Linked DNA regions of Caenorhabditis elegans. The protein of the gene in region 3 purifies or fractionates together with the protein of the main gene of each other region. This does not show direct contact. Each region holds a gene or a part of one and is shown on either strand. Other genes may lie near its edges. The genes, in order: dhs-6, K07E3.4, ech-4 and ard-1.

Region 1 (7,807 bases), 5.2 Mb from region 3:
ATCTCTACTTCAAGCTTGGATATTTCGCTCTCATCGGACTTCTCCGCACTCACGTTCTTCTAGGAGACTATCATCAGGCTTTGAAAACCGTGCAATACGTGGATATTGATCCAAAAGGAATCTACAATACAGTTCCAACTTGCCTTGTTACTCTCCATTACTTTGTTGGATTTTCTCATTTGATGATGAGAAATTACGGAGAAGCTACAAAGATGTTCGTCAATTGTCTGCTTTATATTCAAAGAACAAAGAGTGTTCAAAATCAGCAGCCATCGAAAAAGAACTTCCAATATGATGTTGTGAGTACTTTCTAAATTTTTTGCACAATATTTGCACAATAATTGAATATCTAATGAAGACCCAATAATATTCTGCCGATTTCAGATTGGAAAGACGTGGGATCAGCTTTTCCATCTTCTTGCAATCTGCCTCGCCATCCAGCCACAAAGAATCGATGAAAGCATTGCTTCTCAGCTTTCGGAGCGATGTGGTGAGCGTATGATGCACATGGCGAACGGGAATATCGATGAATTCAGAAATGCTTTTGCTACTGGGTAGGAAACGAAATTAGTCAAGTAATTGTATAGTATTGTATTGTTGCAGATGTCCAAAGTTCTTGTCTCCAACCACAGTTGTCTATGAGGGAGTCAACCAATCGAAAGAACCACTTCTTCGTCAAACTCAATCTTTCCTGGAAGGTATTGAATCACAGATGGCGTTACCAGTTCTTCGTGGATACCTGAAACTTTACACAACACTTCCAACTAAGAAGCTTGCGTCGTTCATGGATGTTGATGATGAGCACTATGATTCGTTCATTGGAAAGCTTCTCACTTACAAGGTATATATAAGAATTTCCGATGATCTCGAGTGTTGATGTAATATTTTGAATTTCAGATGATCGTCAATGAGCTTGGCAAAGAAGCCGGACCATCATCAGCAGACGACGATGAGCCACAAACAGATATTGACTTTTACGTAGACCGTGATATGATCAATATTGCCGATACCAAAGTTGCTCGTCACGTCGGTGAACATTTCATTCGACATATTCAGAAGTTGCAAGAGGTTCAGGATGTGCTCAAACGACTCGATATCCAGAAACCATGATCCTTAAAAAGTATTTGAGCTAAACGAAACATGACTGGTTGATTTCCGGTTAATTTCGTTTAGTTTCACACCAACTCCCACTCGTTTGTTAACATTATATCTCTTGTTGAAAATTAAAAACATCTCTCCGTTTATTTATACCACTTTCTCCTGTTGTTGTCTTTTCGTTTTGGTCCTAAACTTCCTTTTTTTCTCTTATCTCCCAATTATTTTGTATCCATGGTTCATAATAAGTTTAGTAAATTTTTTTGGTTTTTCTTATGAAGTTAATTTATGATTGTTTATATTCTACGCTCATCGCAACTACTTCTCAATTTTTTCCGAATAATTATTAATCTCTCTTACGAGTAGTCTTGTATGTACAGTGATAGACTGTACTTTGACCTATAGGTCCATGGTTTTCACCTAGAACGTAGTCTTATGTGTATTCTCCCACTAGTTATGCCTGCGTCTCCAGTCTCGAGGGAAGATAAGTAGAACAGGAGGACAACAACAATCTTTTCCATTGATCCCGATTTTTTTTCCCGTTTGTTTTCAAAATTAAAAAAAATTATTGTTTCTCTTCTTGGCTCGCCGAATTAATTCTAAATTTCGGAGTTTCAGATTCTACAGTAATCCTTTGAAGACAGTGTCAATAATAAAATGTTCAACACTGGGTGAGTTATATAAATAACTTCCCGTATAATAAAGTTCTGATTCTACAGAAAATTTGTCGGGCGAACAGTTCTGATTACTGGCGCTTCTCGAGGAATTGGAAAGGAAATCGCACTGAAATTGGCAAAAGATGGTGCAAATATTGTGGTGGCAGCAAAGACAGCCACAGCTCATCCAAAACTTCCTGGAACCATTTACTCTGCTGCTGAAGAGATTGAGAAGGTAATATAGAAAATTGCTGGATATAAATAATTTTAAGGAAGTTTTTTTAAACAAAAAACAATTATTTCTAGGCCGGAGGAAAAGCCCTTCCATGCATCGTCGATGTTCGAGATGAAGCTTCTGTGAAAGCATCAGTTGAAGAAGCTGTAAAAAAGTTCGGAGGAATTGATATCCTTATCAACAATGCTTCAGCAATTTCACTTACCGACACAGAAAATACTGAAATGAAGCGCTACGACTTGATGCACTCGATCAATACACGTGGAACATTCCTCATGACAAAAACTTGTTTGCCATATCTGAAATCTGGAAAGAATCCGCACGTTCTGAACATTTCACCTCCACTTTTGATGGAGACTCGCTGGTTTGCTAATCATGTTGCCTATACAATGGCCAAGTATGGAATGTCGATGTGTGTTCTCGGGCAGCATGAAGAATTCAGACCACATGGTAATATATTTGAAAAAATATTCGATTTTTGAAAATCTCGAAATATTTTTAAAAAATACGTACAGTGAGTACTGTAGCTCCTAACTATCCGAAGTGTTAGGGGCTACAGTCGTTTTTCGGTTTTTTTTTGAAAATCGAAAAATTTAATAATATAGTTCTCTTTCGATGTTTCAAAAATCAGCTTAATATTTTGGCCATTATCCCTCTTTTTAGAAGAAATTTCTATGTTTTTTCTCATCATTATAAGCAAAATTAGATAAAAAATTTTATAATCAATTTTCTGAACATTTTTTCGATTTTTAGATTTTCCATAGAATCGAAAAATCGAAAACTTTCGATTTTTCGATTTTCACTGAAACACATCGAAAAATCGAAAAAGTCGAAAAATGCCACCATTGGATACAGTACCCCGTAAAGGTGCACATACTTTTGTACGTACCGAGTACCATATTTTTGTGTAAGAAATTTCAGTATATCGAACATTTATAATAGTAAAATATTAATTTTCATCGTTATTTTAATTTCCATAATTCAGGTATTGCTGTGAACGCTCTATGGCCACTGACCGCAATTTGGACTGCTGCAATGGAAATGCTTTCTGACAAAGGAGGAGAAGCTGGAAGCCGTAAACCATCAATTATGGCTGATGCAGCATATGCAGTTCTATCCAAAAACTCCAAGGATTTTACTGGAAATTTCTGCATTGATGAAGATATTCTGAAAGCTGAAGGAGTTACTGATTTTGATAGGTAATTGCTCATTTTCTGGATAATTGGAATTTATTAATTTTTCCAGATATGCATGTGTGCCAGATGCTCCATTGATGCCCGATTTCTTTATTCCTGCAGGAACTTACGATCACAAGTTCTCATCTGGAGCACAGATCGGAAAAAAGAATAAGACTCACGAAGCCGGAGTTGTTGAAGAAGAGATCAAACAGATATTCACATCTGCAAAGCGCCTGCTTAATGCTGATATTGTAAAGAAAACTGGATTCGTGTATGAATTCTTGTTAAAAGGTCAATTCCGTTTGAAATCTATAGTTCTATATGAATTTCTTTAGACCCAACTACAAAAAGCGAGAGAATCATTACTTTGGACTTGAAAAACGGAGAAGGAGCACTGACAGATAAGAAGGCTTCAGGCAAAGCTGATGTTAAATTCACACTTGCTCCAGAACATTTCGCTCCACTCTTCACTGGAAAACTCCGTCCGACGACTGCTCTGATGACAAAGAAGCTCCAAATCTCCGGTGATATGCCAGGAGCAATGAAATTGGAGAGCCTTCTCCGCAAGTTCACCGAAGGAAAACTGTGAATAACTGATGCATTTTGTAGAATAAATTGAAAACTTTGGAGTATTTTTTTATTTTTGAATTGGTTTTTTTGTATATTTCTTGTAAACATGATAATTTTATTTGTAAATTAATTTTTAGATATGATCTTTTGAATGAATTTTCAAAGTTTGAACCGTAATTCTAGTATGATGTGAGCCGAGATACTTAGTTGGTGATATTACCCAGACGCGACTTTTGCAATTTTTGCGCCAAAAATACGCAGCCCAGTCTCGACACGTTATTTTTCTGTACAAAACGAGTGGGCCTTTAAAGAGATATGTAATTTCAAACTAATTTAAAGAAAACTTTTCATATTTGTCGATTAAAAATGTAAAAACAAATTTTAACATTTTTAAGTACTTTTTGAAGGAACACACCTTTTCGCATTTAACAAACACGTGCCGTGTTGAAACCGGGCACCGTATTTTTTTAAAATTCGACATTTAGTAATTCTGAATTAACTAAAGATAAAAGTTTCATAAGATGAAACACATAAAATCAATTTACTTTAATCAGTGACAATCTCGTTTCCCGTATCCAATACAAGATTTTATTGTAACTGTAATATAATGAATTACAGTCAATAGACTCTGATCGTTCAACTGTCAAAAAATGTCATCAATATTCGTTCACTCTATCTGATTTCTTGTTTTCTGCGCGTACTATCACCTCATTTATCATCATTTATGTTATTTATTCTTTTCCTCCAACTGTTTTCTATTTTATTTAATAATCGACCTCACTTCCTTTTTTTCAGAATTCTAAAAAAGGTTTCTTCCATCTACAAAGTTCTGACGTGAAAGAGCCCAGAAAATCACTCTGGAGCAAGGGAATTGGATACACATGGGAACTTAATATAAATGAACTTAGACAAACTTAGGAATATACGTCACAAAGTGAAAGAATATCACGTCGAGGTGGCCGCCCGTCTACATAATTCGGTTTCACAGAGTTATTGTGTCAAAAAATAAACTTTATTATGTGAAGCTATGTAAAACAAAAAATAGCCGACAGAAAGTTTTAAAAAATCCTACAGGAACTCGGAAGTATTAAGTTTTGAAAATCCATCAGTTTAGACAAAAGTTAAATTTTCAGAATCCCCATTTTTACACTTTTCCACGTCAAAATGTAATTCTCCTGATGATCCTTCAAACTTTTTTCTAGTCGTACTAGTGCAGGTGTCTAAAATAGTGATGTTGTTGTCTAGAGTTCCAATACGGCAAGATGTAGTCGTAACATCTGAATTTATATTCCGTTATTTTTGAAATTTGTGGTAAGACAGGTGAATCTAAAAAAGGTAGATTGGAGTTTATTTTTGGTTTTTTCCTGTTCCAGAATAAATTAGACTATGTGGTAAGCTTCTATTTTTATACTAAACATTTAAAAAATTTTAGTATTATTATGCTGAACATTGCGATTTTGGCCTCAAAAAATAGGTGCCTGATAATAGGTGTCGACACGACTACTTTTTTTGGACTTAAAAGTGTGTGCGCCTTTAATGAGTACTGTAGCGTATAACTTTGTTTTTGCGGAATCTGCTTTGCTTTTGAATGGCTTTTTTTCGTTTTCCCTAAATTTTGAGGAGATAAGAGTAAAACTCTCAAAAAATCGAAAAAAAAATCTCAAATTTTAAGATCGAGGAGCACAGTACTCGCAGTACTCCTTAAAGGCGCAAACATTTTCGCATTTGAAAAATCGGCCGCGTCGAGACCGGGTACCGTATTTTTGCGGCAAAAGGTTCACAATTTTGAGCATTGATAATGTTGTAGTTTTGCAATTTTTGTTCTTACTGCATTTCTTTTTGCATTTCTTCTTTTTCGCTTAACTGAGCTTTAAGCTTAACTTCCTGTTCCCAAAAAATTAGATAATTATTCCTTACATTGAAAACATCGGTAACAATTGTCTATAAACTCAAAAAAAGTTATCAAAAACAAGAAATTCCCAGTGGCACGAGTAGGAGCAAAACTCAATGGCCATGTGACCAACTTGTGGGAAAACTTGAACATTGTTGTAGTAGTGATATTGTAATATTCTCAACTAGAAAAATATATCATACGACTACTATTTTGATTTCATGGGAATATACTACACATCGTATAGTTTTTGTTTTTTCGATTTTCTGTATTCTAATCACTTCCAAATTTTTATGAAAAAACAACAACAATTTCTTTTCTGAAATTCAAAGCATACCTTTTTGTTACTTTTTTTTCGAAACTTTTCTCCATTCGGAATTATTTTCTTCGTTTTCTCAAGCAAAATTCAATTTAATTAAGTTGTTTACCGAGTTGTAATATCATATTTCCTGATTTGACATTTTATCGAACATTGTGTTGTGGACTAACGCCCAACTAATTGGTAAGTTACTGGATTTTTATTTGCTTCACGGGCCGCCGGACAAAGCAATCGGCAAATTAAAAAAAAAAACTTGCCATGTTTCTAGTTAAATAAGTTTTTATATTACCTAGAAAAATTAGAAAGTTAATCAAAAGTATGAATATTGAAAAAATGAATTCAAGGTTGACGACATGATTCTTGGAGAGCGAAAATGCTATGCTAACTAAGAATTTTTTTTTGAATCTTAGGTTACTGTAGTTTTAGACATGGTGGGAGTTTGTACGTCTAAAATTTAGTCATAATCATACTACCGTCCTACAGTCTTTATTAGGAAGACGCTTAACAAGATATTAAATAGACCCACTTTCAATGCAATCTTAATGCTCTTCCAAGAGGTCTCGCCTACAAATATTACCAAATTTTACTAACAAACTCATTGCTAAAATTTACGGTATTGCGTCCCCAATGTTAGGTCAAAAAACCCTTCCCAAAGAAGTAATTGTCCATTTGATTGACACTTCCCATTTCACTCTTTTTCCAGAATTCTGACGTAACATCTTGAAAACGTGAAAACCAATGAATATTCTAGTTACGCCTGCTGCCGCGTTTAGAACATTTTGCCATTGTTACTCGTTTTCTCAGTTAGTCAGTAAAACAACTTTCTTTTTAAATGGTCATACATCCAGAAGGACACTAATTGCATCGTTTCGTTCATTTTCTCTCATTTTTCTTCCCAACTTTCCCCTGTCTGCCTTGACCATTTCATAAACTTTCAAAGTGACAACAGTCACAATTGTGCCATTTGTATTTCATTCCTTTATTCCTGTTTCCTCATTAGTTCTGCGTCTCTTAATCCCTTTAAATCTGCAAGAAGAGAAAAATTCTGTAACTACGAAATAGTGCATGAGAACATGAGACGGGGAGAAAAATCACGATTACTTCGAGATGCCATTGGCAGAGAAGATGCATAGATTCCCTGACATCAAGCTGAATGGGCGGAGCGTGTAGGGCCATACAAGTGGTATAAAATGTATCCGGTTTGAGGGATGAATCTCATCTCTCAACTTTCAACTTTAATTACATTTTCACTTTTCATTTGTTTCTTGTTTTCGATTTCTTATCAATGAGGGATTGATAAGGATTTATGACTTTTGAGAGTGATGCTTTTACTTTTTTTAGATTTCAATTTTAATTTATAAATGCCTATAGGCTAATGTCTGCAGAGAAGATTATGAAAAATTAAGATACAAATTAATAAGCCAATTACAGTAATAAGCATATCACAAAATTAGCTTGAAACGCTTCTATTTATGTACATTAAAAAAGGAGAATTACTCACTATCAGAATAACTTCTCCTTGCAAAAAATTAATTAACTGATTCGAACCTGTAAAAATGCTGGCAATTTTTCAAAAAGCTCAAAACTTGAAAAAAATTTGAGTGCGGATCGTCTTTTAATCCTCGTTTTATATAATAGGTTATAATAGGTGTGTTTTGGCAAAATCTTCACTTGCACTACTCCACCCTAAATTAAAAGGAAACATTAAAAAAACAATAACTTAAAGGTTCATCTTTAAAGTTTTCAATTTAGTGAAACATGCAAACAATGTAATTTGTCACTTTATATCAAATCACCTGAATCTTGTATTTTATCTGAAAAACCATCTAATTAATCTCATTCCTTTCTATTAAACTTTCATCT
Region 2 (8,824 bases), on a different chromosome or scaffold from region 3:
TTTAGAAACTTACAAGTAAGTTTTCAATTTGGATGTTTCATTATTGGTCTTTTTTAAAATTAACCATGTTCAAAATTTATACCCATTTTCTTTATGAAAATATCAAAATGAGGGAGCATTGATTTGCACTATCAAAAAGATATGCTTGTTACTTTTTCTAATCGATTAATTACTTGAATATATACTTACTTAGCGAGTAATTGTCTCTGTATGCAATTGATAATGGTCCCACTCTCAACTTTTAGAAGAAAATACGTACAAAAAACCAAAAACCCTAAATGATTATTCTCGAAACTACTGTTCTTAATTAATGTGTCAATCCAATTATGGTGATAAGCCGGTGGAAACGGGCGGTCAACTTACCAAAATTTTTGATAAGCTGTTTCGCCGCAACTATCATGCACTCTTTGAACGGGCATTTGAACATCAGCAGTAAATAGTGATCTGATATTTTAAAAAAGTCCATTTTGAAGTTTTTCGAGTTAGAAATCAGTGCATAATGGTATAAACTGAGCAATTTAATTTGATTGAGTTTCTTTAAAATCAATTTAAAATATCACAAAAAGTTTATACCCATGAAATTTTGCGACTGTTTTGAAAAAATTCAATTGGAATCATATGAAATCTTTTCCAATACATTGGTCAAATATTAAATCTTAATTTCTATACTACTTATTGTACATGGCCAATAGACATTATTTCATTATCATAAACAAGTTTGGTCGAGCAAGTAATTATAGTTCAGTTCACAAGACGTTCTCCACAATTTACAACCTTGTTGATCATCCTTCCTCGTTAATTTGTGAACGTGTATGATTGAGTAGTTCATGAGTAAAACACATCAGAGACGGCGTGCTATGTCCTTTTAGCTTTTTATCAGTTTTTATAGTAGACGGAGCTGGTGAGTGAAAACGTATACAGTACTTGACGTTTTTATCAGTTATTCATGAGTGGATGAATACAATCAATTGTTATAATGATTTCTATAATATATTTTTCAGAGGTCACGCAATCGTGCATTCAGAGAAATCCGAGCACAAAGACGAAGTTCACCGAGTCATTGGGGATATGGTCAAATGCTATCGGATAATGCTATTTTCATGGGAGAACTGTCTTGTCAAAGTTTGACGGAATTTGGCGATGAGATAAATGTTGATGACAGCCAATTCACAAAGGAACTTGAAATTCGTAGTGTCACAGCAGTTGACGTTGAAAGTGAGTCTATATTTTAAATTTGTATAATTTTGTTTTTTTTTTCAGCAAAGGAGAAGTATCCTGTTGTTGTCAGAGGTAAAGATTTCGTTGTCTACCGCAAAAAGTTCAACGAAATAAATGGACTTATCATGTTTACGATAACCATAAGTTACTATGGTTGTTTTCCCTTGGGTGTATGTTTTGCAGTTTGAAATAGACAAAAAGAAACATGCTTTTTAGAGATCCTGCTATGCAATCACAGAATACCCAGGGACATTTAAAAAAGTGGTACCACACATCAATACTAAGAAACACACAACTCATCACAAACATCACTCAAATCATTCAACTATGCACCATGAATCACAAAAGCTCACATTCAAATCGCTCAACCTTCTTTCATTACCACACAAAAAAGATTGCACATGGACTAGTTTTCTTGATTTCTGGCCAATCAACAAATTAATTTATTCCGATTAAGCCAAGAAAAACTTGTTCAAACTCTTGTAACTGCAATAAGCCAATAATAACACTTTAATTGTATAAAGGAGGATGTCATATTATGAGAAACCCAAATAATACATTTCATCTGGTATATCTTAAATGTTCAATTTCTTTGCTTCATTCACAATTCCAAAAATGATTTATACTTGTTTGACAATTGTTCTGTCAGTCTACCACTTCCCATTTCCCCTATTAAATCCTGTAGCATTGCTACAACTGTTTCTTGCCAAAAACTTTTCAGCTATTATTTCATGTACTTTATTTTTATTCTTATTTTTACTCCTGCTGTGCCACTTTGTATGAAATGATTTCAACAAATAATTTTTTTCAGAATCATAAATTTCAGCATTTAAAGAAACAAACATGTCAGGCTACACGAAGGAAGAAAAAGTAAAAGTGCATTAGAAGATTTTATACTTGTTTTTTTAATCTTCAATGAAGCAACAGACATCTCAATTAAAAGCTTTTAAAAAATGTCAAAGGAAATTGCCAGAAAAACTAAAAATCTAAGTTTTTCAATACTAAATCCCCTTTTTCAAATATTTTCGAGCTAACTTACTTGCTACGATTTTCAACAAATAAGTATCTGTAAAAAAGTTTTGCATTGTCTTTTTTGATAGGAAGATATAAAAACAACAATGCAATTTCCATGTCAAAAATAATATGCATGGTCTTGATACAAACTGCAAAAAAAATTATTAAAAAAAAAGCATTACTACCCAAACTATTATATCCCGTTTTTAAGTAGAAATACTGAATAACCAATTTTTGGAAAAATGTATCATAGTTATGATACACAGATATTGTGTTGAGCTGATGAAAAAGTAATTGAATCCAGCAAATTTCAATTTCATAGCCAATCAACTGCTATGATCATATGATGACGTGACAACAGGAAAAACCGGGTTTTTTCTGAAATAACAGGTTTTCGGCAAATATGTCCTGGCAGACAGAAATATTTTTTTTAATTCAATTTTATTGGTCTTCAAAAAATATGCTCTTATATACTCTTTTTATTTACAATTTCAGTATTAAATTCTTATATAAAATCACAATGTTACGCATATCACAAATAATCTGTAGAAAGAAGTATGAAAGCATTGTTTAGAATAGCCCATCAATGATCTCAGTGACTGGGTCAATGGTGATGTCGTAGAAGCACGGACGAGTGTTGAGTCCTGGCATTGTGGTCATTTCACCAACCAATGGGTAAATGAATCCAGCTCCAACGGATGCACGCACGTCGCGAATCGGAAGTGTGAAACCTACAAAAACTCTATCTTGATTTGAAAATAGTTGTTTGAATAGTTTGGTAGGAAATTGTTTATGCATAGTCAATATCGAGTTTCATTAACCAATCATAATGTTGAACTTTTAGTACCTAAACTATAAACATTAAAACATCAACAGAGTGTTTATAATTGACCGGTATCTAATAATTTGATTTCTTACCAGTTGGAGCACCCTTCTTTGTTGGGTCTGATGAAAGGGACAAATGAGTTTTTGCCATACAAATTGGCAACTTCGAGAATCCCTGTCTTGTGTATCTTTCCAATTTCTGTTTGGCCTCGTCAGATAGTTCAATGCCATCAGCACCATAGATTTCTTTGGCGATAGTAGCGATCTTGTCTTCCAATGACAAATCCAGGTTGTAAAGGAATTTGAATTGCTTTGGATGTCCAGTTGTAGCATTGACCAGAGAATTGGCGAGAGCAACCGCACCAGCGCCTCCTTGTGACCAGTGTTCGGAAACCACTGCATCAAATGCTCCGTATTCCTTGGCCTTGGAGCAAACAAGTTCCAACTCCTTGTCGGTATCGGTTGCGAACTTGTTCACGCAGACAACAACAGGGATTCCAAATTTGTTTGCATTCTCAATCTGCTTTCTAAGATTTGAATCGCATCCTCCTTCAACAAGTGGAATGTTTTCGTCAAGGTATTCGTGTTTCAGTGGAGCTCCTGCTACAACAGATGGACCACCTCCATGCATCTTAAGAGCTCTTACAGTTGCTACAAGGACAACTGCTGATGGCTGAAGTCCCGAGTAACGGCACTTGATGTTGAAGAACTTCTCCATTCCGATATCGGCTCCGAATCCAGCTTCAGTGATCACAAATCCGTCGGGTCCGGCAAGTTTCAAAGCAACCTTGTCAGCAAGAATACTGCTTTGTCCATGTGCAATATTAGCGAAGGGTCCGGCATGGACAAAAACCGGAGTACCCTCCAAAGTTTGCATCAGGTTTGGGCGAACGGTGTCTCGCATAAGAACTGTCAAAGCCCCAGTTACTCCAATATCATCAGCGGTTACTGGATTGCCAGCCTTGTCGGATCCGATCACAATTCGTGCAATTCTTTCTTGCATATCAGCGAGAGAAGTTGTCAACGCAAGAATCGCCATGAGCTACAAATAAGAATTAATAAATTAAAATTGCCATGAAATTGTTTTGACTAACCTCACTAGCAACAGTAATATCAAACTGAGTAGTTCGGGTGTGTCCCTTCTCATTCGGTCCCATTCCAATTTCAATCTTTCTTAAGAATCTATCGTTCGTATCCATCACACGGTTCCAGGTGATAGTTGCAGGATCTATGTTGAGACGAGCAAAGCTAACTCTCTGCTCTTCGCTAAGATTTTCAGCATCATCTACACGTGGGATTCCAAGACGGTCGAGGCGACGAAGTTGGATCTCCGAAAGTGGGCGGACTCCTGAAAAGTAAGTATTAATGTATTTATTTCTATGCCATAAAAAGGGACTTCAAACAAACCCTTCTTGTTCTTTGGTGCCAATCTGTTGAATAGTGCATCAGTTGCTTGGGTTGACTCATGGAACATTCTAGCATCGATTGCAGCAGCAAGAAGATTATTGGCTGCAGTAATTGCATGGATATCTCCTGTCAAATGAAGATTGAACTCCTCCATCGGAATAACCTGAGAGTATCCTCCTCCAGCAGCTCCTCCTTTAATTCCAAACGTTGGTCCTTGCGATGGCTGGCGTACACATGCGAACACCTTTTTGTGAAGATGAGCTCCGAGAGCTTGAACTAGTCCGATTGTCGTTGTGGATTTTCCTTCTCCAAGAGGTGTTGGCGTAATACCAGCAACTACAACGTACTTTCCATTTTTAACCTCGCTCAGTCTATCCAAAATGTCAAGAGAAACCTTTGCCTTCTTGCGTCCATAAAGGTCAAGCTCTTCTTGTTTGATTCCAATTTCCCCAGCTACCTGAAAATAATGAAGATAAGTTTTTTTTAAATTAAATATTCTTGAGTGCCTTTTCGATGTCCTTTGGTGGTTGAGCTCTCGAAATAGCAATATCCGATGGAACAGGAGTTAACAGGGTGGGCTTCAAGTATTCAACATTCCATGTGCTCTGAAATAAAAAATAATTCAACGAAATTATAATGTTTGATTTGGAACATTTAATCGAATTACCATTCGGTCAAATTTGCGGCGCAAGCAGCGTGAAAAATTGAAAATTGAAGTTGATGAAAAGATAGAAATTGTGACTTAAATGTTTATGGGAACTTCGATCAAAAATTCTTATTTTTTTATATTTTGATTCTTATCAATCAATAAAATAGATTGACAATAGTGATAATGTTGCAATTCGCAACTTGACTTTAAAAAACGATAAAACGCACGGACAGGTTTATCAGAAGAAAGTAACATATTTTAGGTTTTCCAGAAATGTATGACAACATATCAAACTGGGACATATTAAGTTTTTATTAGTCAACATAAACAAAAAAGACGCTTTTTCAAGATTAATTTCTATGTACATATTAATTTAACAGATAATACTCTTTTTTTTATCTTCAGACTCTTTTTTTTTTTGAAAATGTATTTTTACAGTGTGGAGTTATTATACACAAGTTCTGTTTTTTTTGCTCACGCTCAAAACATGAACAAATTATTTTTGTTATTTTTGGAGTTTTCAAAATTGCATTTTCCGTTTAAAAATCAAATCCCAAAACGTTAGTGTTACTTACCATGTTTCACAATTCAAGAGAAACCAATGAATCAACGAAAATAAAAAGCGAGTGATTCAAACAACTGCAGAGCGATGGCCACTAAATACAAACACCTTGATAAGGCAGTGGGCAGAACAAGTAATCGAGTCAGTATCAGATATTAGGAGACGCACAGAAAACATGCACGGGGGGCATTTGCCGGGTCTGCCTTATTGATCGCGTCCTCTGATTTGTTCGATGTTGCGTCGCTCTCGTGCATCTAAACATCTAAACTAACCACGTGCATTTATCGCGAGACCATGGTCTTTTTACAAATCAGGGCTAATTGTGTCCTTGGTCATTGTTTATTTCGGTGGAAAGTGACAATAAAAAGAAAATACAAATTGAAAAGATTAGATTAAAAAAAGGTATGAAGAGGACTTCAAGTTCCAGAACGTCACAACAAATTTTAAAGAGTAAAAAGTCAAACCAAAAAGCACATTATAAATAGTTCATTCGCAAATGATGTGGTGGAAGTGGGTGCTTGAAGTTCACTCATCATCGTCATCCTGAAAAGTAGGTTCTGTGAAATACAACACTTACAAATATTTTTAACATATTTTCAATCGATTTTGTGTGAGGCACACTATAGTTGCAGAACAACTTTACATTCGGTGTAAATAATGAAGACAATGTCCATGAAATTTGCTTGTTTCGTAGAGTTTATCGCTCAATGAATTTTTGAAGTTCTTTGAGTCGATAACGTGCTATCGGTGTCTTTTGTAATTTTTGAAATAAACTCTGGTGCATCAGTATCAACCCCACACGCAAAACAAACTGTTTGGCACTATCCACGCTTAGGCCAGAACATCAAAAAACCTGCACAAACTTAGTGTCGCAAAAGGAAAGCTATTTTACCTTTTGTCCAAGACGTCGTCTCTTAGCCTGCTCAAATGTGTTACGGATGAGCATGGCAACAGTCATTGGTCCAACGCCTCCGGGGACAGGTGTGAGGAATCCGGCGACTTCCTTTGCGGCTTCTGTGTCAACATCTCCGTAAATTTTGCGTGAGTTTGGGTCGTCACCAACGTTGATTCCACAGTCGATGACGAATGCGCCAGGCTTGATCCAATCAGCTGAAATATATGCTTTTATTTGTAAAAAACGCTGACACTTATCAGAACAGAGAGTCTGTTTCTATTTGATGCAAAACAATTCAGAAGTTGCAAACAGTCAGGTGCATACTAAACATTGATAGTTCTTAAATTGGGGTTTCTATTATAGATATTTTGCATAATTTAATGACTTACAAACTTTTAGGTTAGCAAGTAAATACCGTGCTGCTCATATAAAGGTCTACTCGTAATAACTTTTGCCAAGATTCTTCTTTTAAATGGATTTGGGCGTAATTATGAAAAAAGCAACGCGAAATTTGTTCAATGATGAATTCCAAAAAATCAGGATATAAAAACTTTCACTATTTTACTATAGTCAGATCTCAGCTCGGAATAACCACGTTTGCTGAAGTTGAAATCAATCTTTTGATATCTGTATGGCCAGTACTGTGCACTATCTCAAATTTAGGTTTATTGATAATCTACCTTTGACGAAATGTTTTCTCCCAATTGCCACAATCAAAATATCTGCTCTCAGGCATTTCTCCTTGAGATTTGGAGTTTTTGAGTGGCAGATTGTCACAGTTCCATGATGCCACAAGAAAAGCGCAGCGGCTGGAGATCCGACAATTTTCGAGCGTCCCAAAACAACCACCTCCTTTCCAGACACAAAGTTGGCATCACCAGTTGCCTGTTGAACCAAGTACAAGCATCCAAACGGAGTGCAAGGAAAGATCGTACGCTGGAGTTCTCCACGAGCCAAACGTCCAGCATTGATACGAGTCAGTCCATCGACATCTTTCAATGGGTCAATCAAGTCGATAACAGAGTCTGCGTCGATTTCGTGCTTGCAGTCCAGTGGAAGCTGAAATTAATAACTTGCTATTATTGTTTAGCTTCCGATGTTTTTTTTTAATTAACTGAGATGTGTTTTTTTTCCGTTATAAGTTAACATTTCAATATTACAACTTAATCCGTTATATTAACCTGAATGATAATTCCGTCAATCTCGTTGTCATGATTAAGAGCCATAATCTCTCGCTTCAAATCTCCTTGAGTGATGGTGTCTGGCAACTTAATGAGTTTTCCATCTGCTCCGATTTCCTTTGCTTTTTTCAGTTTGGAATTAATGTACACATTGGAGTCTGAACGATTTCCAACCTGCAAATTTTGAGACTTTGAGTTATTCAGTATAACAGATATCCCCTCGGATATTATTTGTCTTGTTACGAAATAAAAGCCGGTATCTCAAAAGTACACCACAACTACAAATTACGCTCTGCAAAACTTTCAAAATCTGTTTTGTAAGTATGCAATGCACTTATGTACGTCATGAACTCAAAACACAGATTGGACAGAGATTTTCATTTTCATATATTCAATTTAGAAATATTATTAAGTTAATAGCAATGCTTGAAATAAAATTATTATCAGTGGTAAGCTTTCATACCTGAACAATTGCCAATACTGCATGAAAATTTGGGTGGTGCTCACGGGTTTTTGCGATTTTCTGTCCGACATCGTGAAGAACCTTTTTTGAGTACTCGAGTCCACTGACGATCTCCGCGACCATTCTAAAAAATAAACAAAGTAATAATCAAGTTGAAAAATACGTCAAGAAAACAAGAAGGGGAAGAGTAAAGGAAAAGAGTACGAAACTCCTCTTGTACTTGGCTATTCATGGGAAGAGACTAGTGCAGAAGTCAGAGGACAAGCTGATTGGAAACTTAGCACATATTCACATTTCGATGGTGGGGGACAGAGTGAAAAAATAAAGCGTCGAAAAAGTTGAATATGCATAGCGGTCTGTTGTTTGTGGGGGAGTGATGAGAAGAGTTTTAAAACGGCCTGGCCTTGTTATCTTATGCTGAAGATCGCTATGATTTTATGTGTCGAGTGACTAGAGTTGCTTGTCAGCGACATTCTCATGGAAAATACATGTTCCACCGACAGTTTCGATGTCAAAGCTTCCGCATTAAACATGTTTGCTTGAAAATGAAAACAGTGTATCAAGGAACAAAATTCAATTTTTGTCACATGAAAATAATACTTTTGAAAGT
Region 3 (7,213 bases):
AGTCTAAATTTGAATCATTTCACAAATTCAAAACTTTAAAAAATCCGAAAATTAAAAAGAAACTGAATTTTGCAAAATTCCAAAATTGAAAAATTCTGAAAATTGAAAAAAATTAGTTTAACCGAGTTAACCGAGTATTTAGGAAAAAGGAAAAATTTTTCATGTTTTAAAAATACTGAAATTCAAAATGTTGAAAAATCTAGGAACGGAAAAATTTTGAAATTTCTAAAAATTGAAAATTATTAAATTTCGAAACAAAAAATTCAATTCCAAAATATTTTAATTTTTTTTAAATTCCAGAAAACCCAAAAATTCGAAAACTCTAGAAGTTCTGAAAATTCAAAAAATTCAGAATGTTTTAAAAATTTCTGAAATACCAAAAATTGGACAAGAATATAAAATTTAAAAATTCCAAAAATTCTAAATATTCATCAAATTTTGCAAAATTCTGGAAACTCAGAAACCATGCAATTTTAATTTTCCGTACAAACCTTTCCATCCTCATTAACACTCAAAGTGATCAATCTTCCCGAAATATTAACCAGCACAGTATCGATACTTGAATAAAATGCAGGTGACAACTTCCCCCGTACATCCAGATTCAGCTGTGTCATTTGAAGAGATACAATACATGTTGGATGTGGAACAATTTCGTTGATTCGAATAACAGTCACAATTTCAGTGGAGACTTTTGTAAAAGCATCTCGTCCAGTTTCCAAGTGAGCCGTGAGCTTATAAAGCGTAATTTGAGCCGATATATCGAATACTGCACAAACGTCGTCGCTGGAAAAATTGGGAAAATATTAATGTCACTGAATCTAGAATAATTCCAAAAAAACTGATAATGAGAGTTCATTTCCAAGATTGAATATTTCTTACCGTAACACGGACATGACCGATTTATGCTCCAAATCCACAACCGACGCATATCGACTGTCAAGTCTCTGAGAAATTGGATAAAATGAGAGATGGGACTTGTCAGTATCCGCAGCAACTCCAACAACTCCAATGACGTCATCATTCCAAATAAAGACACCTCCAGTGACCAAGAGATTCTTCTCTTGAGTCTCATTTCCAAAAATCTTCCAACGTCGATTGGATAATGAACAATATGCCATTCCTTGATCACCGGCCACGACGAGATGTTTATAGTTTCGATCAGTTGATGCATACTGAAAACATATTAAATTTTAACATTTTATTTTAATAAACTCTATCGGAAAATACCTACGTGCCTACATGCCTACCTCATGGTTTTACCAAATTTATGCTTTTAGTTTTTACTTTTAAAAAACTCACTCTCAGTGGCCAATTAGATGATAGATATTCATGTGTAACTGTAATATGATCCCATACAGAATGCGGTGCACAAGCTTCTGCTTCTCGATCCCTTGCAGCACTGATCAAAACCTGCGAGTCACTCATCAATACAGCTCTATCACAATGTTCCATTGCCGGGCTTGAACATGAAGCACTCCTCACGAATGGTTGCATCATAAGCTCATTTTCAGTTCCAAGCCACAGTTGGAAACCTTCTGGACCCCATTCAATAGCCGTGTATCTATCATTTTGATCTTCTTCGACGACACCTTCCAGATTGCAAAATGATTGAGCTCCGAATGAAGTGAAAACTGCGACGAGCCGAGGAAGAGCATGAGCTCCGGATAGTGGAGACCAAATTGCACCGAATCCGTATCCATTCGCGAGGGCTGTTATTCGGTGAACCGGACCCAGTCGATTCGTCAAGTCAGGACCATTTGTTACTTTTGGAGCAACTCGGAACGATTGAACGAGTGAGCCATTTAGTTCATCGATGTTATAGGCACAAACGTCGCCGCTGGAAATAGTTTAGATTAAAAAGAAAACTGTGCGTTTGATTTTTGAAAATTAAAATCTGAAAAATCTGAAAAAACTCACTTTTTACATCCAAAAAGAATCAGAAGGAACTTGTGATTCACATCGCAACACGTGGCATCTTTCATATTCGGAGCCCACACTCCCAGAATTGCCTGGAATAATAAAAAATGGGTTTTTTTTTTAATTTTTCATGATAAAAATCTCACATTAGGTGCAAAATTCGGATCATTCGACGTCAATAGAGCACCTTGACCATCGGAAAGTACAATCGCAAATCCTCCGAGAAGTGGAGCATACACGGCGTCAAAGATATACGTGGATTTTGAAGTAATATTTTCAGATTTCGACTGAAGTTGATCCACGGAGAACGGAATTGAACTGGCACGGAATGAGAGGCTTGCAATAATCTCTCCAGTCCAAGTGACATGATGAGTGAATCCATTTTGAAGGCAAACAAGAAATTCATCACGAGAAGGAACACAACATGTTGGTATATCAGCCAGATTTATGATTATTGTTGGATGAAGATGAGCTGTCGGTCGAGATCCTTTTATAAAAAGTTCCGGTGAGTTTCGTTGGAAATATGGATCCGCAGAGTCTGTGAAATTGTAGCATTGTTCATCGTCTCGCAAATCTAGATTATAGATTAAAATTTTGCATTGATTTGTCTGAAAAATATAATATTTTCAAAGAAAGAACTGTAAAATTTAAATATTACCGTTACAGCTATACTTGTTGAGTCAGGTTTCCAGTAAATTTCTTTTAATTCTCCACGTGTTTCTTTGAAATTGGCATCGATAACCCCGACGGAGCACAGGAGCAGTTGGGGCTGAATTTATGTTTTTTTAATCAGATTTTTATTAGTTTTCAGCACTAACATTTGCCAGCCAAATGTAAATCGCATCATTTGTTGCGACTGCTATCAATCTTCGATCTCGATTTGCCACAATTGACTTGATATCGGCGGCAGTCGAATCCTTTTCATGCTTCGGAAGCTGGAGAACCGATGGCCTGTCATTCTGGAATTTTCAAAAATTATTTTTTATTAAAAAAATTCTAAAGGAAACTTACAGGTATGAACATTCTATGCCAGATCCATCAAATGTTGTATTCTGTTGAAAAATATTAATTATTCGGGGGAAAACGGTTTTTTGCGATTAAAAGCTCAGTAATAAAGAAGCGCGTTCAATTTTTAGCAGATTCAATTCGACATCTTGATTTAAAAATTAGGAGATTGATTTTATTTTGTATTTGGAACGCAAAAACGTTTCAAACAGAATAAAAAGGCCTCCAGCTGTGAATATTTTTCAAGAGCAATCGCGCTCGGTTGCCACGCGTTAGAGGGCAGAGACGCAGACTTTTCAAAAATTTCAGGCGTTCAGGATTGCGTGGATGAAAATGATTTCACTCGAAAAATAACAAATTCATATTTAAATAATAAAATTAACACCAAAAAAAAAAGAATTAACAAAAAAAAACAACAAAACAATTGAATCAGAGTACTGTAGACAAAGTATTGTGCATTTTGTAGTTGCCGTGAACAAGGGTGTCAATTCCCGTGTCCCGTTTGTCCCGTTGTCCCGTTTTTGGGGTGTTTTCACGGGAACGGGAATTCTGTTGTCCCGTTTTTAAAATTTTCACGGGAACGAGAATTCCCGTTGTCCCGTTTTTGTAATTTTTACAGGACACTGACACCCTTGGCCGTGAACGTCCTTTGTCTGCAAATTTTATTGATTTTATTTATCAGTTTTCTGATTTCTCCTAGGAGGGGATTTCTCCTAGGACTCCTAGGGATTATAATTTGATTTTCACTGTTTTTTCTAATATTAAAATCTTAATTTCCAGGTTATCTATACAATTTGAGCTCTCTTTTAAAAAAATTGAAACTCCAAATTTTCCTGAATCTATTATTTATCCCATTTATAATTGCTCCACTATTGTCTTGCGTATAGTAGCGATTGTCCAGCTACACATTACAATGTGTATTCTTGTGTGTAGCCAGTTCATTCAAAACAACAAAAAGACGGCGGCCGTTCTTATCATTTACCCGGCCCCTCCGTGTACCTTGTTCTTTTCTTCACGTTGTCCATTTTCTTTCTTTTTTTCTCTTTTCCCCGAAAAAATTAATTATAACGTTTAAAAAATCAATTTTAATTCATTTCAGAATGCTTCGAAATCTCACCCTCGCCGCTAGAAGTGTTCTCTACAATCCGCAAGTGTAAGTCTGCAAAAATCATCTAATTTGTGAATAAATCTTCAATTTCAGTTCCGTTCGCTCGTTCTCTGCCCAGGCTGACTTCGAGAAGGCGCAGAAAAATCTGAAAACTCTGAAGGAAGAGCCGGACAATGACGTGAAACTGCAGCTCTACGGGCTTTTCAAACAAGCCACCGCTGGGGATGTGCAAGGAAAACGCCCGGGAATGATGGATTTCGTTGGAAGAGCCAAGTATGATGCCTGGAATACTTTGAAGGGACAAACTCAGGATGAAGCTCGCGCCAACTATGCTAAACTGGTCGGTGGACTCATTTCCGAAGAAGCTTCTGCTGCTCCAGAACCAACTGGGCCATCAATCGAAGGACTTGAGAACGTTGACGGTTTAAGTGTGACTCGCGAGGGAAAAGTGTTCAAAATCGCATTGAATAGACCAAAGAAGTTCAACGCATTGACATTGGAAATGTATCAAGGAATTCAAAAGGCACTGGAGGTCTCCAACAATGACAAGAGCACCTCAATCACTGTGATTACTGCCAATGGATCATATTACTGCGCTGGAAACGATTTGACTAATTTTAAAGCTGCTGCTGGAGGTACTAAAGAGCAAATTGCGGATATGGCTAATACAGCTAAAGTTATTATGAAGGATTATGTCAATGTTAGTTTAAAAATATATATTTCAATAATAAATTCAAATTTTCAGGCCTATATTAACCACGAGAAGCCTTTGATTGCTCTGATCAATGGCCCAGCCGTAGGAATTGCTGTGACCGTGCTCGGAATGTTCGACTACGTAATTGCAACCGATAAGGCCTCATTCCACACTCCATTTGCCCCACTTGGACAATCACCTGAAGGAGTTTCGAGCTACACGTTCCCACTGATCATGGGATCTTTGAGAGCTTCTGAGATGCTGTTGGTCTGTAAGAAAATCTCAGCCCAAACTGCAAAGGATTACGGGCTTGTGAATGAAGTTGTGCCAGACGCTGAATTCCAGTCACATGCTCAAAAAACTGTGGAAGCGTTCTCCCAACTTCCGCCAGAAACTCTTCGTATCAATAAGAAATTGCTCCGTTCTCTGCACAAGGAGAAGCTTCTGGAGGTCAACAATATCGAGGCCGACCAGATTTGCGAGCGTTGGCAATCCAAGGAGTGTCACCAAGCGATTGCAGCATTTATGACAAAAGGAGCAAAGAAGTAATTGTTTTGTGCCCTCTTAAGTTTTACCTTTTTTGTAGATTTTTTATGTATCTAAAAAGAATTATGTGTATTTGATTGAACATGTGCAAAAACAAAATTAAATGATTAATTTACAACAATAGAATTTTAGCAACATATAAATAAATGAATCCATAAATTTCGAGTAAAAATGAAGAATATCAACTGCTTTGCTCATCAAGAACTATAATCTTCTCACGAGTACATGAATCACAAGCTGGTAGCCGAATAACAATGTACGATGGCTCCTTCTGGTAGACCTTCTTATCACAAATCGGGCAACAAAAGTTCGGAGTATGTACTAGATGTGGTCCGTCGACGACAGGAGCCAACTGATACGACTTTTTCAGAACTGGAGGGCACAGATCATCGTTGGCTGATCGCTTTTGAGCAGCATTTCGAACTGAAGCCATATCCGTCCTCCGGAGCAAGACGGGCGGAGCAACTTGTTGATACTCGTGATCACTTCGGTCTCGCTGGGGTACGAGCATCTGGTCGATGGTGGCGTACGCGAATTCTCCATTCATTAATTGGATCTGAAATTTCAAAGCTTTAAAAAATATACTTTATAGAAGTTTTATGAGCATTTTTCTTCGTTTTTTCTAGAAAAGCTCTGTTTTGATCCAAAAGTTGAAAATAATTACATTTTATCGGATCAAAACAGAGCTTATCTTGCCTAATTAAACAGAAAAAGTAAAGAGTTTCTCACCTTGTACTCCGAATCGCCTCGAACATATTTGACAACCGCATCTTGAAGACGACCATCAGCTGTCCGAATTTGAACGGTTTCTCCAATTATTGGGCTTCTTGTAGATTCTAAAATAATTTGGATAATTAAAATTAGTTCAAATAAGCTTCTGAAACTCACTTCCAGCTTCCAACTGTTCATGATGATGATGGTGATAACTTGTTGATGGAGCCTGATCGTTGTATGCAGAATCTTGAGCTTTTTCTTTTCTAAAAATAATAAAAATATAGTTAAAATTCTACGTGTTGACCTACATGGGCGGTAGAGCAAGTTGCACAAGTTGATGGACATTTTCAGTGCTTAAATTGTTTAAATCAATGTTCAAATTGGCGATTTCGGAGGGGGAAACATAGAATTGCTTCTGTTTTGATGTAATATTGACTCCACCATCATTTGTCAGAATAATATGCATTGCATTATCGATTATCTGACCATTCCCATCATATTCTTCCTCCGGCCCATTTCCATCACCTTCAAATTGATTTTCAATCATTTCGTGATGAACCATGTGATGATGTGAACCATCTTCTATGACAACTTCTTCATTGTGCTCTTGCTCGTTTTGTTTCGCCTGTCGTTGTTGACTAATCGCCACCACAATGTTCAGCTGCTCTTCGGTGAGATGATTAAGCTCAAAGCCTGCTTCTACATCGAAACCCGCTTCGTACATGTCTTCCTGCGTGATTTGAACCATATTCTGAAATATAAATATTCTTTCAATTCATCGAAAAGCTTGAAATACCATAAACTGTTGATCACCATCCTCCACAATCATATCTCCTTGTTCAAGATCTTCCGGCTGCTGCTGCTGCTGCTCAACAATTTCTTCTTCATGCTTAGCACTTTCAACTCGAAGTGGGGCCTGATCCTCGTGGAAAATATGATCTTCATCGGCAGGATATACACCTTCTGGGGAGGATCTGGAAATTCCATTTATTAATTTGAAAGAAAATGTGATTTTTATTCTTACCCAGGAATTTCTTCTTCACGGCCTGTTGTTGGGCTAGCAGGATTTTCTTTTTCGGAATCCATATCTGCAACGATTTTCGTTGTTTAATAAAAATTAAAAAATAAAAATTAATAAATGACTCTAAATTATAGCGAAGGAGAAAAAACAAAGGAGAAAAAAATTACAAAAATCACAAGGCAACTTTTGCGCGTCAAATCTCATACAT
Region 4 (8,390 bases), on a different chromosome or scaffold from region 3:
ATTTAGAAAGTTCTCCTACTAATTAAATTATTTTCAGAAACAATCTTCTGAAAATGGCAAAGTCTCGCAAGGCAGTCATGACATATCATCAAAACAATGAACGTGAACGCAAGAAGGACGAGATTCGAAATGAAAAACTTCGTATGCAAAAACTGATGCAAGAAGATGAAGAAGGATATCGTGCTCTTCTTGATGAGAAGAAAGATCAACGTCTTGTGTATCTTCTTCAACAAACCGATGAGTACGTCGACTCTCTGTGCTCACTTGTTCGTCAACATCAAAATACCGAAAAGAAAAAGAAGAAGGAAGATAAGAAAATTGAAAAAGGAAATCAAATGGATGAGGAAGCCAGGGTTCACGTTCGGGAGAGAAGCACTGGAAAAGCGCTTACTGGAGATCAAGCTCCAAAGACTGAAGAAATTGAGTTTTGGCTTGAAACTCATCCAGAATATGAGATAGTTCCACGTGATCAGCTTAGTGATGACGAAGAAGAGGAAGAGGAAGAGGCTCCAGTGGAACCAGAAGAAGAGAAGGATGATCAGTACGCTGGAATGGATGAAGAGACAAAAGCTAAGATGATCCTCGAGAAGGCACGTAACGAAGAGGATGAATATGATCAGAAAACGAAAAAGCAAATGGCTGATTACTATGCAACTGCTCACAAAATCAAAGAAAAGGTTGTCAAGCAACACACAACGATGGGTGGTGGTGATCCGAATCTTCTGCTGAAACCGTATCAGATTAAGGGATTGGAATGGATGGTCTCCTTATACAACAACAATCTGAACGGTATCCTCGCCGACGAAATGGGTCTAGGAAAAACTATTCAGGTAGGAATTTGGGAAATGAGGAAATATTAATCAATTTTTAATTTTCAGACAATCTCGTTGGTGACGTATTTGATGGAAGTCAAACAAAACAATGGACCATATCTTGTCATCGTACCGCTCTCCACGTTGTCCAATTGGCAGAACGAATTTGCTAAATGGGCTCCATCTGTAACCACTATCATCTATAAAGGAACTAAAGATGCTCGTCGTCGTGTTGAAGGACAAATCAGAAAAGGAGCGTTCAACGTTTTGATGACAACATATGAATATGTGATCAAAGAGAAAGCACTGCTTGGTAAAATCCGTTGGAAGTATATGATAATCGACGAAGGACATCGTTTGAAGAATCACAATTGTAAATTGACATTGATGTTGAACGGATTCTTCCATGCTCAGCATCGTTTACTTCTTACTGGTACTCCACTTCAGAACAAACTTCCTGAGCTATGGGCTCTGCTGAACTTCTTACTTCCATCGATCTTCTCATCTTGTGGAACTTTCGAACAATGGTTCAATGCTCCATTTGCGACTACAGGAGAGAAAGTAGAACTGAATCAAGAAGAGACGATGCTCATCATCAGAAGACTGCACAAGGTTCTTCGTCCATTCTTGCTGAGACGTCTCAAAAAGGAAGTAGAATCACAGCTTCCTGACAAGACCGAGTATGTCATCAAGTGTGACCAGTCTGCTTTGCAAAAGGTTATTTATCGTCATATGCAGAAAGGATTGCTTCTCGACGCTAAAATGTCATCTGGAGCACGTTCGTTGATGAACACTGTCGTGCATCTTCGCAAGCTTTGCAATCACCCGTTCCTTTTCCCTAATATTGAAGATTCCTGCCGTGCATACTGGAAGGTCAACGAAGTCAATGGAACCGATCTAATGCGTGTTGCTGGAAAGTTGGAACTTCTCGATCGTATTCTACCGAAACTAAAGGCAACAGGTCATCGAATTCTGATGTTCTTCCAGATGACGTCTATGATGAACATTTTCGAAGACTTTTTGAATTTCCGAAGATACACGTACCTCCGTTTAGACGGTTCAACTAAACCAGACGAGCGTGGAGATCTGCTGACACAGTTTAATGCTCCTAACAGTGATTTGTTCCTTTTCATGCTTTCTACAAGAGCTGGAGGTCTTGGACTCAATTTGCAAACTGCTGATACTGTTATTATCTTTGATTCGGATTGGAATCCTCATCAGGATATGCAGGCTCAAGATCGTGCACATCGTATCGGACAAAAGAAAGAAGTTCGAGTTCTTCGTCTCATCACAGCTAACTCTGTTGAAGAGAAAATTCTTGCCGCTGCTCGCTACAAGTTGAATGTCGACGAGAAAGTTATTCAAGCAGGAAAGTTCGATCAACGTTCAACTGGAGCTGAAAGAAAGCAAATGCTCGAACAAATTATTCAAGCAGACGGAGAAGAGGAAGAAGAAGAGGAAGTTCCAGATGATGAAACTGTGAATCAGATGGTTGCTCGCTCAGAGGAAGAATTTAATATCTTCCAATCGATGGATATTGATCGTCGTCGTGAAGAAGCTAATCAACTTCACCGTAAACCCCGTCTTCTAGAAGAACATGAAATTCCAGACGATATTCTCAAATTGTCATTCGATTATGAGGAAATGGAACGAGCCAGAGAGGAAGGTCGTGAAGTTGTTGATCAAACTCCTAATCAGAGAAGACGCAGAAGAGAGGTAAGGAATATATAAGAGAATTTACAATATTAATTCATTTTCAGGTCGACTACTCTTCCGATCTTTTGTCCGATGAACAGTTCATGAAACAAGTTGAGGAAGTTGAGGATGAAAATAATCAAGCTGTGGCTGAACGTAAAAAGCAAAGAAAACGTAAAATGGCTGGATTGGACGAGAATGATGATTCTATGGATGACGTTGTTCTACAACACAAGAAGAAGAAGACGGATCCAGAATTGGCAGAAAAAATCAATGAAATGCTTGATGTTATTCTAGAATATAAAAATGAGGATGGAGAACTCATCGCGGATGTATTCCAGACACTTCCAACTCGTAAAGAACTGCCGGACTATTATCAAGTGATTTCCAAACCAATGGATTTCGATCGAATCAACAAAAAGATCGAAACAGGACGTTATACGGTTATGGAAGAATTGAATGATGATATGAATTTGCTTGTGAACAATGCTCAAACATACAACGAAGAAGGCAGTGAGATTTATGTTAGCTCTGAAACAATCGGAAAATTGTGGAAGGAACAATACGATAAGGTATGATTGATTTTTGAAATTTCGAAGTTTACATTACTTTTTCAGTTTATGAATCCACCGAAGCCAGTAGAAGAACCAGTCAAGAAGAAAGAACCTTCAACCCCATCAACTTCATCTTCTCGTCCCTCAACCAGTGGCACTCCAAGTGTGTCAGATCTTCAGCGGACACAACAGGCAACTGCTCAGCAAATGTTAATGCTTATGACACATATGCAATCACTTCCACCCGCACAGGCTCAGCAGTTTCAACAGGCATTGATGACACAGACCGGTGGAAATCAAGCCCTAATGCTTCAATATATGCAGTCGGCTATGCTAGCTCAACGTGCACAAGCTTCAACTAAAGTAACCCCCAAAAAGGACGAGAAAAAAGAAACTTCGTCTTCTGTAAAGACCGAGGAAGCTAAGAAAGATGATGAACCATCAACATCGTCTGCAAGTGCACCACCACCGAAAAAGAAGAAGGAATCGGAAGATAGTGAAGACCCAATGGAAGAAGATGAAGAAGAGGAGATCATTGGACAAAAGAAGGTTACTTGAACTTTTTTAATGTCTTTAAGTCTAATATTTAATTTCCAGGAACCAGCATCAAGCCGTCGAAAGTCTCGTCCAACTCGCCGCTTCTCGAACGAGGATGAGGAAGAAGAAGACGACGAGTGATCAAAACTAGTCTGCTCCAAATATTTTCATGTCCCCATAAACATTTATTCTCTGTTTGTGTATTCTTCATGTTCTATGATTTCTGATTTTTTGAGCTGTCACCATAAATATGTCCCACCTCGTTCCCCCATTCTTATCTCTCCTGCTTCACAGTTATCTCTCATCGCTTTTTTACTGTTTATCTCTACTTCTCTTTTCTGTCGCAAGCTACACGTTTGCAGGAAAAAATCCCTGAAACAAAAGCATTAAGCATTGTATTTAACCCATATTCCACTTTTAATCCATACTATTCGTCAACTATTTTAAAGAAAAATTTAATTTTATAAACATTTCGAGAGAAATATGCTTTTGTTATCAAGAATTATTTTCGAATTTCGTTGCGATTTCTTTTATTAAATACTTTCCGTCTTAGTTCGAGATTTTGAATGTTTAATCAAACACACTTATGATTTAGGTAAACGGGAACAAATGTCGGCACTCAGAAGCACTAAGGTGAGTTTAAGAGCTTGAAAAGGTTGAATACTTGCTCCAAAATTGAAAGTGTTATCTGAAAACCCTACGTTCTATCTTCTCAGGGTCTCGTTGCTCTCGTCACTGGCGGAGCGTCTGGACTGGGAAAGGGTGCTGCCGAAGTTTTGGCAAAGGCTGGTGCACAGGTCGCTATTCTTGATCTTCCACAGTCAAAAGGAGCCGATGTTGCGAAGGAGATCGGAGGAATCTTTACACCAGCTTCGGTAACAATGATTTCATGCTACATTTGTAAAGAGAAACTTCAAGTAAAATATTACCCAGACGCCAATTTTGCGATCTCTGTCTCGACACGCCCTTTTTTGTAAAATAGAAACGAGTGTGTGCCTTTAAAGAGTACTGTTATTTCAAAATTTCGTTAGTACTGAATTTTCATGAAATTCTCATCGTTTTTTAAATTAAGAATTAAAAATTGAAAGCACATCAATTTTATTCAACAAATCATGATAAAAAACTACGAAAAGTCGATAAAAATTCCACAGCATTTTCAATTTTAAGAGTACTGTAAAATTACAGTACTTTTTAAAGGCGCACATACATTAGTATTTTACAAAGTTTTACGCTTCAAATATTACGATAACACAAAATTCTGAGAATGCGTATTTTGCAACATATTTGACGCGCAAAATATCTTGTAGCGAAAACTACAGTAATTGTTTAAATGACTACTGTAGCTCTTGTGCCGATTTACGGGATCGATTTTCGAAATGAATTTATTCTCGAATAGTGACAGTGATATTAGATTTTCCTTCATTTTTTCTTAAATTAAATAATTAAATTGATTTTAACTAATTTGGAAAAAAACCAACCCTGAAATTGATACAAGAGCTACAGTAGTCATTTAAAGAACTACTGTAGTTTTCGCTACAAGATATTTTGCGCGTCAAATATGTGGTTCTATACGCATTCTCCGAATTTAGTGCTCCCGTAATAACATAATTTATTATTGTATTTTCTCATTAAAAAACAAACGTTTCATAAATTTCAGGTAACATCCGAAGAAGAAGTGAGAGCAGCTTTTGCCAAAGTTCAAGCTGAATATGGTCGCCTCGATGCTCTTGTGAATTGTGCCGGAATTGCGTATGCTTTCAAGCTCTACTCTGTTCAAAAGAAGAAACACGTTGATTTTGAGAAGATCCGTCAGACCATTGATGTCAGTTACTGTCATTTCAACCACCAAAATAACTTAAAACAATTTAGGTTAATGTTTTGGGAACATTCAATGTTATCCGACACGGAGTTGCTTTAATGGGAGAACACGAGAAAGATGCCAATGGACAACGAGGAGTTGTAATTAATACCGCTTCGGTTGCAGCTTTTGATGGACAAACTGGACAGGTAAATATAAATATTTCGAGGCACAAAATTTTGAGGTTTTTGTATTATATGAAAGTTACAGTACCCGGTCTCGACACGACAATTTTGTTAAATACAAACGGCTATGCGCCTTTAAAGAATTCAAACTTTTGTCGTTGAAGAATTTTTATCATGTCTTCATTTTTTTGTTAAAAATATATTTGTTACTGTAAAAACTAAAATAAAACTAAAATAACAAATTGTGAGTGAAACTATAAAAATCGATGAAAGCTCTGCAGCAAAGAAAGTTTGAAATTAAAATACCGTTTGTGTTTTACAAAAAAAAGTGGCGAGACCGGGTACCGTATTTTTTGGCGAAAAATTTCTAATTTATGACTTTTATTCGAATTAAAATTCTAAAATTTTGCCAACATTTTTCAAAATCAGCATATCATCAATTCGCAAAAACTTGAAACTAGATGCTAAGCATTTTATTGTGAATCCTGGATTCTTCTGTACAGTTCTGAATTTAAAATTTCATAAACTTAATTTTCTGCACCAAATGAACAAAACTGTGAACCTTGGCACATATAACACATGTAACAGGCCAAATTTTTGAAAATATACAATGCCAATTTAACAAATTTAAATAAGTTAAAAAATTTTTGCAGTCTGCCTATTCTGCTTCTAAGGGCGCTATTGTTGGTATGACTCTTCCATTGGCTCGTGATTTTGCTGGCGATGGTATCCGATTCAACACTATTGCTCCAGGACTTATGGATACTCCACTTCTCTCTTCACTTCCAGAAAAGGTGAGGGCTGAAAAGGACGTTCCTATTCATTAAACAAGTTTAATTTTCAGGTTAAATCCTTCCTGGCCCAACTCATCCCAAATCCATCGAGACTTGGACACCCACACGAGTACGGAGCTCTTGTGCAGCACATCATTGAAAATCAGTATTTGAACGGAGAAACTATTCGATTTGACGGAGCACTCCGCATGCCGGCTTAATTTAATATCTCTTCATTCCGATTGTTTTTTAAGTACAGAGTTTTAGATCATTTTTTTGTTTGTTTTTCAAGATTTCGAAATTTGATAATTTTGCGCATATTTCTAATGAAACAGTGATTTTAATATATCATGAAATTTTGAAACAGTAAAAACAAAGCAACTTAGAAACCGAGCTCAACAGAAATCAGAAGGTAACATTAGTTTATAACAACTTAAACAACAAATGGTCGGCAAATACTGTTGTACTAAATACTTGATCTTTTACTTCGTATCTATTTTGCTATACAGTAGACATTCTTACTACCACGGCAGGGATTATATCATTTACTACTGATATTTTACTACGAATTAAAAATTAATTTCTATATTTAGTATATTCTAGATATGAAAAAATGTATGAATATTAAAAAAAAACATAGGTCCCAATTGTAGTTTGTTCTCTAGTAGTTCTTGTAAATTTCAGTTGTTTTCTTTTGATACTGAGTTGGAGATTTGTAGAGTAAATTGAATTACACTTCCACACAATACAGTTCACATATAGAAATGGCGGCCGCGAAACTCAAAAGAAGGAACAGACAATGCCCCCTACAAAAGTTACCGTAACCTGAGATTTTATTCTCGCGCTTATGAATTCCTCTTATGACAATTTTTCAACTTTTCCATCTCTCCTTGTACTCTGGGATCTATATTCATAATTTCTATGATTTCTTGCTCCTGCTCTTGGACCTTCTCACTGTTTGTAGAAACTAGACATTTAGAACTGTTTCATCGTGAAACTTTCATCAATTTAGTTCTTCGAGGCTTTGATTTTCCGAATTGCGAGGGGAACCTAAAACTAAAATAGGTTTATAGATCCATTCAGTTTGATTTTCCTTTTATGTCTTGTTGGTTGCCAACTCTTTTTATCTCCACTATCTACTTTATCAATTCAAAAAAGAATTGGTTAAGATTCACTTTTTACAGCGTGACATTGATGGCTTACATAGATAAATGCTAGATTAAAAATATCTATTCATTTTTTGATTATTGTTTATTTTTCTTCATCGAGCTGAAGGTTGCCCTCGTAAAAATCAGGTATTTTATTCATTTCTTATCAGGAATATAAATTTACTGTACCAATTTAATGGCAAGTATCTGTTCTGTGCCGTTTATCAATTCAAAAAAGAATTGGCTATACGGTAAACAGCGGATGCCTTGTGGTTTCATTGGTACTTGTACCACTTTAATTACAAGTATCTGTTCTGTGCCGTTTATCAATTCAAAAAAGAATTGGCTATACGGTAAACAGCAGAATTCGGAAAAATTCGTTTAAAAAAAATTGATCGTGGTGGAGAGAAGAAAAATATCCGAAAAATTAGAAAGTTTGTAATAACTTTCTTCCTCATTTTATGTACAAAAAATAAAGGAAGTTTTACTTCAGAAACTTTTACTGTGAGCGTTAGGAAAAATATGCTACTCCCGTTTCAGATATTCGGAATCCTCAGTCGCGCTTATTGTATCGGAAAGAGATATATGTAATTTTAATTAAAAATACATTTTGAAATGTAAAAAAAATCAGCTCCTACATATTGTCTTTCGAATTAAAAAAAAAGGCCATTAAAACTAAGAAGTAATACAGTAATTTGTTCTATCGGGGGAGACTGTGGCAGCATCTCCGCACGTAGTGTCAAAGTGTCCCATTTTGGTTTGATCTTCGAAAAATGCGGGAGAAGAGACGCAGACTTTTCATCTGATTTTGCATGGTAAAGAGTGTGCTTACGTCACATTTTCCTGGGGAAAAATTCCCGCATTTTGTGTAGATCAAACCGCAATGAG

Evidence for each region.
Region 1: the proteins of ech-4 (region 3) and dhs-6 fractionate together in Caenorhabditis elegans (co-fractionation; one large-scale study listed by BioGRID). This does not show direct contact.
Region 2: the proteins of ech-4 (region 3) and K07E3.4 fractionate together in Caenorhabditis elegans (co-fractionation; one large-scale study listed by BioGRID). This does not show direct contact.
Region 4: the proteins of ech-4 (region 3) and ard-1 fractionate together in Caenorhabditis elegans (co-fractionation; one large-scale study listed by BioGRID). This does not show direct contact.

What each region holds. Positions count from the first base shown.
Region 1 is NC_003280.10:5,613,226-5,621,032, reverse strand, and holds dhs-6 (Hydroxysteroid dehydrogenase-like protein 2), read left to right. Parts: upstream 1-1,713; 5' UTR 1,714-1,752; coding exon 1,753-1,766; intron 1,767-1,814; coding exon 1,815-1,986; intron 1,987-2,057; coding exon 2,058-2,436; intron 2,437-2,971; coding exon 2,972-3,185; intron 3,186-3,231; coding exon 3,232-3,455; intron 3,456-3,499; coding exon 3,500-3,753; 3' UTR 3,754-3,905; downstream 3,906-7,807. Other genes in the region: eif-3.L (Eukaryotic translation initiation factor 3 subunit L), read left to right, coding at 1-299, 385-554, 604-841, 898-1,110.
Region 2 is NC_003284.9:8,078,213-8,087,036, forward strand, and holds K07E3.4 (formate--tetrahydrofolate ligase), read right to left. Parts: upstream 5,807-8,824; 5' UTR 5,692-5,806; coding exon 5,689-5,691; intron 5,191-5,688; exon of another isoform or gene 5,135-5,190; coding exon of another isoform or gene 5,132-5,134; intron 5,070-5,131; coding exon 4,971-5,069; intron 4,922-4,970; coding exon 4,465-4,921; intron 4,406-4,464; coding exon 4,152-4,405; intron 4,100-4,151; coding exon 3,151-4,099; intron 2,964-3,150; coding exon 2,803-2,963; 3' UTR 2,657-2,802; downstream 1-2,656. Other genes in the region: C46F2.1 (uncharacterized protein), read left to right, coding at 1-15, 1,002-1,215, 1,261-1,388, 1,435-1,674; dao-3 (C-1-tetrahydrofolate synthase, cytoplasmic), read right to left, coding at 6,201-6,218, 6,568-6,785, 7,251-7,629, 7,752-7,925, 8,215-8,337.
Region 3 is NC_003280.10:10,817,010-10,824,222, forward strand, and holds ech-4 (Delta(3),Delta(2)-enoyl-CoA isomerase), read left to right. Parts: upstream 1-4,021; 5' UTR 4,022-4,022; coding exon 4,023-4,075; intron 4,076-4,123; coding exon 4,124-4,730; intron 4,731-4,775; coding exon 4,776-5,273; 3' UTR 5,274-5,425; downstream 5,426-7,213. Other genes in the region: Guanine nucleotide exchange factor subunit R06F6.8, read right to left, coding at 492-783, 880-1,172, 1,300-1,837, 1,918-2,009, 2,064-2,525, 2,576-2,686, 2,736-2,876, 2,929-2,940; R06F6.12 (uncharacterized protein), read right to left, coding at 5,452-5,826, 6,000-6,106, 6,159-6,247, 6,293-6,735, 6,781-6,958, 7,009-7,070.
Region 4 is NC_003282.8:11,127,086-11,135,475, forward strand, and holds ard-1 (3-hydroxyacyl-CoA dehydrogenase type-2), read left to right. Parts: upstream 1-4,193; 5' UTR 4,194-4,207; coding exon 4,208-4,231; intron 4,232-4,314; coding exon 4,315-4,473; intron 4,474-5,255; coding exon 5,256-5,420; intron 5,421-5,467; coding exon 5,468-5,605; intron 5,606-6,234; coding exon 6,235-6,375; intron 6,376-6,425; coding exon 6,426-6,575; 3' UTR 6,576-6,698; downstream 6,699-8,390. Other genes in the region: SWI/SNF chromatin remodeling complex core catalytic subunit swsn-4, read left to right, coding at 38-830, 879-2,528, 2,573-3,079, 3,125-3,610, 3,659-3,739.